2 linked regions of the Callithrix jacchus genome follow. The protein of the gene in region 1 purifies or fractionates together with the protein of each later gene. This does not show direct contact. Links are inferred from orthologs where the notes say so. Each region holds a gene or a part of one and is shown in the gene's direction. Other genes may lie near its edges. The genes, in order: CDK7 and GTF2H4.

What was found.
Region 2: the proteins of CDK7 (region 1) and GTF2H4 purify together in Homo sapiens (affinity purification with mass spectrometry; 7 studies listed by BioGRID and IntAct, with this or other methods). This does not show direct contact. The link is inferred for Callithrix jacchus from reciprocal best matches to the Homo sapiens genes CDK7 and GTF2H4.

The regions. Positions count from the first base shown.
Region 1 is NC_133503.1:140,271,991-140,275,804, reverse strand, and holds part of CDK7 (cyclin-dependent kinase 7), read left to right. Parts: intron 1-2,295; coding exon 2,296-2,445; intron 2,446-3,814. UniProt on the Homo sapiens protein: Serine/threonine kinase involved in cell cycle control and in RNA polymerase II-mediated RNA transcription. Cyclin-dependent kinases (CDKs) are activated by the binding to a cyclin and mediate the progression through the cell cycle.
Region 2 is NC_133505.1:35,702,091-35,706,332, forward strand, and holds the start of GTF2H4 (general transcription factor IIH subunit 4), read left to right. Parts: upstream 1-1,301; 5' UTR 1,302-1,491; coding exon 1,492-1,503; exon of another isoform or gene 1,504-1,641; intron 1,642-2,111; coding exon 2,112-2,251; intron 2,252-2,510; coding exon 2,511-2,615; intron 2,616-2,998; coding exon 2,999-3,130; intron 3,131-3,728; coding exon 3,729-3,825; intron 3,826-3,899; coding exon 3,900-3,988; intron 3,989-4,204; coding exon 4,205-4,242. UniProt on the Homo sapiens protein: Component of the general transcription and DNA repair factor IIH (TFIIH) core complex, which is involved in general and transcription-coupled nucleotide excision repair (NER) of damaged DNA and, when complexed to CAK, in RNA transcription by RNA polymerase II.

The DNA.
Region 1 (3,814 bases):
TCAAGACTGTTACATAAATGGATAAATGGAATCACATAGTATATAACTTTTTGGGATTAACTTTTTCATACCCACATAATGGAAATTCATTCTCTCTTTTTTTTAACTGGCTAGTATTGCGTGGATTTATTTCACAGTTTGTTCAACCATTCACCCATTGAAGGACACCTGTATTTGTGTTGTTCCCAATGGGACTATTATCAATAAATACGCTATAAACATTCATGTACAGTTTTTTATGTAAGAATAAGTTTTTATGTCTCTGGGATAAATTGCCCAGGAGTTCAGTTCTTGATTCATATGGTAGTTACATACTAATTTTTAAAACAACCTGCAAAACTCCAGAGCAGCTATACTGTTTTATATTCCCACTAGCAGTAAATGAATGCTCCAGTTTCTCAGAATCCTCTCCAGCATTTGGTGTTCACTTTTTAATTGTAGGCACTCTGATGAGTGTGTCATGATAGCTCATTCTGATTTTGATTTTCACTGCCCTAATAATGGCTAATGGTGTTAAATTATCTTTTCATGTGTCTATTTGCCATCTTTAGTTAAATGGCTCTTCCTGTCTTTTCCCCATTTTCTGATTGGATTCTTTGATTTTTGACTGTTGAGTATTGAGAGCTCTTCGTATATTTTAGATAGTAGTCCAAAAAGTGTGTGTAGTTTGCAGATGTTTTCCCTCGTGCTGCCTTTTCATCCTCTGCAAAATTGTAATCAGGTTTGTCACTTTTTCTTTAATTGATCAATCCTTTTGGTGTCAAGTCAAAGAACTCTTTGCCCAACCCAAAGATTTTCTTGCCACTTTTTTTCTTGCTTTTTTTTTTTTTTTTTCCGAAACAAGATCTGGCTCTATTGTCTAGGCTGGAGTGCAGTGGTGTGCATGATCTCGGCTCACTGTAATCTCCACCTCCCAGGCTCAAGCCATTCTCCCACCTCAGCCTCCTGAGTAGCTGGAACTGTAGGCATGCACCACAATGCCCAACTAGTTTTTGTATTTTTTTGTAGAAACAGGGTTTCTGCATGTTGCCCAGCCTAGTCTCAAATTCGTGAACTCAAGCAATTTGTCCGCTTTGGACTCCCAAAATGTTGGGATTACAGGCAATGAGCCACTGCACCCCCGCCATGACAATTTTTTTGTGTTTTTTTCTACAAGTTTTGTAGTTTTACACTTGAGTCCAAGATCTCTTTAGAGTTTATTTTTACATGATGTGTGAGACTTAGGGCAAGGTTCGGTTTTTTGTTTTTGTTTTTTATTTTTTGAGACAGTCTTACTCCATTGCCCAGGCTGGAGTGGGAGTCTCACTTTCTTGTCCAGACTGGTCTCAAACTCCTGAGCTCAAGTGACCCTCCCACCTCAGACTCCCAAACTGCTGGGAATACAAGCGTGAACCACCACACCCAGCCAAGTTCAGATTTTTGCCTGTATATGTCCAAGTGCTCCAGCACTATTTGTTGAAAAGACTGTCTCTTCATTGATTTAGTTTTCACTTTTTTCTTTTCTTTTCTTTCTTATTTAAAAAAAAAAAAAAGATACTTCTGAGAGGTAAGTTTTTCACTTTTTTCAAAAATCCTTTTGGCAGATTTGTGTGGATTTCTAAGTCCTTTTTTATTGGGTTCCTTTATTGATTAAGTCCTTTCTAAGTCTGATTTGTGTATCTATTTCTCCCCCAGTACAACACAGTCTTAATTAAAGTAGCTATATGTTAAATCTTGAAATCAGGTATGAGTCCTCCCACTTTCTTGTTCTTTTTCAAAATAATTTTAGCTACTGTAGTCCTTTGCCTTTATATATTGTAGAATAATTGGTCTTATATCTAAAATAATTTTGCCAGGATTTTGATAAAAATTACATCTAACTTGCAAATCAATTTGAGGGGGATTAACATCCTTCCTCTGTTGAATATTCCAATATGTGAACGTGGTATGTTTCACCATTTATTGAGATCTTTGGATTTGTTTCATTAGCATTGTATAGCTTCTAGTATATTACCCTATATACATGTTTTGTTACATTTTTCACCTGTATTATTTTTCTTTTTGGGGTAATTTTAAATAGTACTGTGTTTTTAATTTTGATGTCCACACATTCATTGCTAGTATAATGAATTAAAATTGGTTTAATTTTCATTTTGTATCCTTCCAGCCTTGCCTTACTAGTAGTTCTAGGACTTTTCAATAGATTTCTTGGAATTTTCTATATAAACCATCATATCACCTGAAAATACGATTTATTTCATTTGAGATCTACATGGATTTCAACCTTCAGTTTGAATTATAAAATTATTTTTACAGGACATGTGTAGTCTTCCAGATTATGTGACATTTAAGAGTTTTCCTGGAATTCCATTGCATCATATCTTCAGTGCAGCAGGAGACGACTTATTAGATCTCATACAAGGCTTATTCTTATTTAATCCATGTGCTCGAATTACGGCCACACAGGTATTTTACCGTATCTTTTTTTATACTAGGAAATATAAAAATAATCTTAACTGTAGCATTGATAAAAATAGAATTTCATAAAATTAACCTTTTTTAAATACTGGAAAAGATGTGTTTTTGTTTGTTTTAGGAAATAACAAACTTTGTATTTTTTCCCCAAACAGCAAACACTGTTAAGACTGAGATTAAGTTATATGCACACAGAGATATAGGAGAGCTTACACTTAATACACTTGCTTAGGAACATATAAATACATATCTATTTCATATAATTGGTTTGTAAATACTTTACCTGGAGAGGAAAGGAAAACCAAGGCTTTTTATTTGTTAAGAAACTGAAAACTGTTTATTTTTTCAGTTGCACTCTTAAAAATTCATTTCAATCTTGTAGCAAGCCTAATGCTGAAAGTAATTTATTCAGCTTATTTTTTCTTCCCTATATAATGTAATCTGGGTATGCATACTGGTCATTTTCACATTCAGAAAATGGTATAATCAGATATGATTGTATGCTTACAAGAGCTTGAAAGATACTCAAAAACTGAAACCAACTGCTATTTAAAGGAGAAAACAATGAAACTCATGAAAAATTTGGAGGGCCTAGAATAACTTATAGCAGAGCACTGTACAACACAGTGCAGTGATTTTTACCTGATGAAGGGAGAGACTAAAGTGAAGTATCAGAAGCCTTTATGGAAACATATTAATGTACAGTAATATTAAGGATACAAAATAGATTCCCCCCCCTTAGGTTTGTTCCAGCTACAAAATCATTGTTTAATGCATTTGCTTGTATAAGCCTTCTCTTTTTAGCAATACATGCTATGTGTATATAGAAATGGATAGATGGATGGATGGATGGATGGATGGATGGATGGATGGATGGATGGATGCTGCGTATTTACCATTAGAATTACTCTTCTAATTTTAAAAAAAATTTTTGTTATTTTTATGTCCATATGTACACATGCTCTTCTAATTTAAGACAAGTAATTTGTTGCCTTTTCGCTCATACTTCTATGTATATAATTTCCATCATAATAAACCTGAGACCACATTTAATTATCTAGTAAGTTGTTTTCATTGGGAGTATAGTTTGAAACTTATAGAAAAATACTAGTTGTTATATTTGGGTTGTATTTTAATAGGATGAAGTTTTTAAAGTGAGTTTTTGTATCATGGATGTCTTTATTAAAGTTGGAATGAGTTACTTTCTTAGATCTTTATCGTGTCGCCCAGAATTAGCCTAATTTGCATATAAGACCACTGTGATTTAGAAGTAATGCTTTAAAAATCCAACTGTGGGCCAGGTGCAGTGGCTCACACTTGTAATCCCAGCACTTTGGGAGGCCAAGGAGCAAGGATAGCT
Region 2 (4,242 bases), on another chromosome or scaffold:
GCCTGGGCAACAGAGTGAGAGACTCCTTTTCAGAGAGAGAGAGAGAGAGTGAGAGAAAGATGGGGGTCTCACCCTGTCGCCTAGGCTGGCGCAATCATAGCTCACTGTAGCCTCCAGCTCCTAGTCTCAGGTGATCCTCCCGCCTCAGCCTCCCGAGTAGCTGAGTAGTCATGACTCTGAGCCACCTCACCAGGCTGCAGGCCAATTCTTAATCTTGCCAGGCTCCGGTCTTCCAGTCTATAAAGTGGGAATAATGGAATTTGCTTATAGAAATTTGGGGAAATGTGTAGTTCTGGCTTTGGGTGAAGACCTCTGTCTTTCTCTGTAGCAGGTTCATAAATCAAATCAGAGCAAACAGCTGATGTCTTAAAAACTGTATTTATCAGGGTCTTCTAAGAAAACGGTTTTAGGCATGGTAGAGGCAGAAATTAAGAATTATTGAGTATTTAGGGCCAAGTAAGGCGCACTGGATGGTGTTGTTAACTTGTGGAAACCGTCCAGAATGTGTATACTTTCTTCTCTTTCTCTTTCTTTCTTTCTTTCTTTTTCTTTCTTTCTCTTTCTTTCTTTCTTTCTTTTCTTTCTTTCTTTCTTCTTTTTTTTTGACTTTAGCTTTTGTCGCCCAGACTGGAGTGTAATGGCACGATTTCGGCTCACTGCAACCTCCGCCTCTAAGGTTCAAGCGATTCTCCTGCCTCAGCTTCCTGAGTAGCTGGGATTAAAGGCGCCCGCCACCACACCCGGCTAATTTTTGTATTTTTAGTAAAGACAGACTTTCACAATGTTGTAAAGGCTGGTCTCGAACTCCTGACCTCGGGTGATTTGCCTGTCTCGGCCTCCCAAAGTGCTGGGATTACAGGCGTGAGTCACCGCGCCCGTCCCGGAGTGTGTATTATCTCAATTTTACGGGGAGTAATTGTGCTCACGGAATCCAGTTTTGTGGCCCCTACCCCCTAAACGGCTCACCACTAAGTCGCCATGGCGCGCCTCCGCCAAGAAGCCCTCCAGGAACTTCTATTTTCCCCGGACCCGCCTCCTGTTCAGGCCGGTTAGACGCGCCGTTAGCAGCGTGGGCGGAGTTGCTTCTGCCTTCGCGGAACCAACTGGCCTGACTTCTGGTATCTCCCGCTCTCTAAATTAAAAGCCAGCTCCTCTCCTTTTGGCTTCCCAACGGTGCCTTTCGGGATTTGTAGTCAGACGCGCTTCAGCCGGCTCCAAGGAGAGCAAAGACAAGACTCCAATTCCCAGCATACCCCGCGCCGGGAGAGTGCAGCGCCTATTCTCATCCTCTTCACTCTTCCACTCCTTCCCTTACCTCCCTTCTCTTCTGAATTCTCCATTCTAGGCTCTTGTCTGTGAAATCTTTTGTCGCTTTCCCCATCTTTCCCTGGCATTTTTTTTTTTAACCATCTTTCCCTCAATCTCCGGGAGCCAATGAGAGACTTTGGCTCCGATTAAGCGACTGCCCGAGACTCGGGGTGCACGAGGAGGATGGACAGAGTGGTGAGGGGACCTAGGAGGGTGGGAGTGGCATAGCTGTGAGAGAGAGAGAGGTGAGTGAGAGGCGAGGTGTGGGAGGAAGGCAGGGAGAATCTAGGAGATCGGAAGGCGTGGGTCAGCGTGAATGGGAAGGGAAAAGAGGTGACTTCAGATTTGGGAAGCGTGAAGGGGAGAGGTTATCGTCATAGCAGAAGTGGGCTAAGAGATAGACGATAGGGAGGACGGGCAGATTTGGAGCTTATTGACTGATCTGGACCAGGAGAGATGGAAGAGAGAGGTGTGGGCTCAATTTTCTTTGTCCCTGTTTAGCCAAAGATGAGACAAGTCATTGAATACAAAATTATCTTGCAAACATAGGACAGTTAGCAAGTCTGTCACTTGGTAATTGAGGGAAGACTGGAGTTGAAGGGCAGAAGTAGGGTGAGGAGACCAGAAACGGAGAGAGATTGGTCAGATTTGGAAGAAACTAGAGATAAGTGACAGGGGAAAGTAAGCCACAGAAAAGGTGGGATTATTGTGGGGGCTCATGGATCTGGAATCAGAGTTAGAAAGGTCAGGGGTGACACTGGCATGGATGGTGGGGGTGTGCCTCTGACGTTTGCATTCCTCAGGTGATGGAGAGCACCCCTTCAAGGGGACTGAACCGAGTACACCTACAATGCAGGAATTTACAAGAATTCTTAGGGGGCCTGAGCCCTGGGGTATTGGACCGATTGTATGGGCACCCTGCCACTTGTCTGGCTGTCTTCAGGTGAGGAGCCCCATGGCAAGGAAATGTAATGGGGTCTGCAGATTGGAAATAAATATCATGAGTAAAAGCATAGCAGTCTGGATTGGGGGTGGGGACTGGGGGTGAGGGTTGAAAATTGCTCCAAAGTGTGGAAGGCCAAAATAGCAGGACTGGTAAAGCTGTGGTGGAGTGAGATGAGATGTTTGAGAGGTAATTGAGGGCAGAGATGCAGATACAGTGCAGCTTCTGAAATTAACCTTTGACCTCTATCCCTATACAGGGAGCTCCCATCCTTGGCTAAGAACTGGGTGATGCGGATGCTCTTTCTGGAGCAGCCTTTGCCACAAGCTGCTGTAGCCCTGTGGGTGAAGAAGGAATTCAGCAAGTAAGTCTCAGCCAGATACAGATTTCTCAACAGCAACATTTCCCAAACTGCTGTTTCTTGGAGCACTTCCAGGAAATATTAATAGATCACAAAATTTAAAAATAAATACATTTAGGAAATGCTGCATACTGCGTTTTCCCTTTTATTTATTTCCCAGCTGACTTCTTGTTTTCAAATGTATCTTCCCTCTTAGTTATGTGTGTTATCAGCAATGAGGCTCTGATAGGTAATGCAGTAAAGGCATTTGTCTTAAGATACTGATTTCACTCTGTGAAACAGTAGTTCAAAGATCAGCAAGTTCAGAACAGGCAGGAATGGTAACTTTTATGGGCCTTCTCTTTGTTCTCCAGACACCCCCTCTCATCTCTTTGCTTCTATTCCAGGGCTCAGGAGGAAAGTACAGGGCTGCTGAGTGGCCTCCGGATCTGGCACACCCAGCTGCTCCCAGGCGGGCTCCAGGGCCTTATCCTCAACCCCATTTTCCGTCAGAACCTCCGCATTGCCCTTCTGGGTGGGTATGTCACTTCTATCTCTTCCTAAGCTAGGGAAGGGAAACTGCTGCTAATTAAACTGCTATTAAACTTTGGGAGGGGGAGCTTATGGGGGCCTCCCTGGAACCTTGTGGTCTCTACCTTGGGGAGCTCCTTTAGGAATAAGTTGGACCAGATGTAGCTGTGTTGTGTAGGCAATGTCCCCCAGTCATGGCCCCTGAGGATAAGGGTGGAAAGATGGCAGAAGGACAGCAAGGAACACAGACAGAGTTCCTTACTCTTTTTTTGTTTTGTTTTGTTTCTTTTTGAGATAGAGTCTTGCTCTGTCACCCAGGCTGGAGTGCAGTGTCACAATCTTGGCTCACTGCAATCTCCACCTTCTGGGTTCAAGATATTCTCCTGCCTCAGCCTCCTGAGTAGCTGGGATTACAGGCACCCACCACCATGCCTGGCTAATTTTTTGTATTTTTAGTAGAGATGGGGCTTCACCATGTTGGCCAGGCTGGTCTCGAACTCCTGACCTCAGTGATCTGCCTCCTCGGCCTCCCAAAGTACATGGATTACAGGTGTGAGCCACCGTGCCTGGTCAGAGGTCCTTACTCTTGGCCCATCCTGGCTCTAGGGGGAAGGCCTGGTCTGATGACACAAGTCAGCTGGGACCAGACAAGCATGCCCGGGATGTTCCCTCCCTTGACAAGTACGCTGAAGAGCGATGGGAGGTAAGCACTTGGGACTTAGCTTCTACCTCCTATGGCCCTCGGGGCATGGTCTCCCTGTTCTTTCTGTTCTTCAGGTGGTCTTGCACTTCATGGTGGGCTCCCCCAGTGCAGCTGTTAGCCAGGACTTGGCTCAGCTCCTCAGCCAAGCTGGGCTCATGAAGAGGTAAGGAAGTTAGAGGTACAGCAGTTTGCTGCTGTGCCATCTCCTTGAGTCTCTGAGAAATGGTATCTCGGGTTGGTCAAGATCAGAGGACATCGTCTGGAAAAAGCAAGCTGAGTAGAATATAGCCAGAGATACCCAGAAAAAACATGAGTGGACAAGTGGGTATAGTAGCCTTTCTCTGCATATCACCATCATCGTCCTGCTCTTTGTCCTTAGTGCTGAACCTGGAGAGCCACCCTGCATTACTTCTGCTG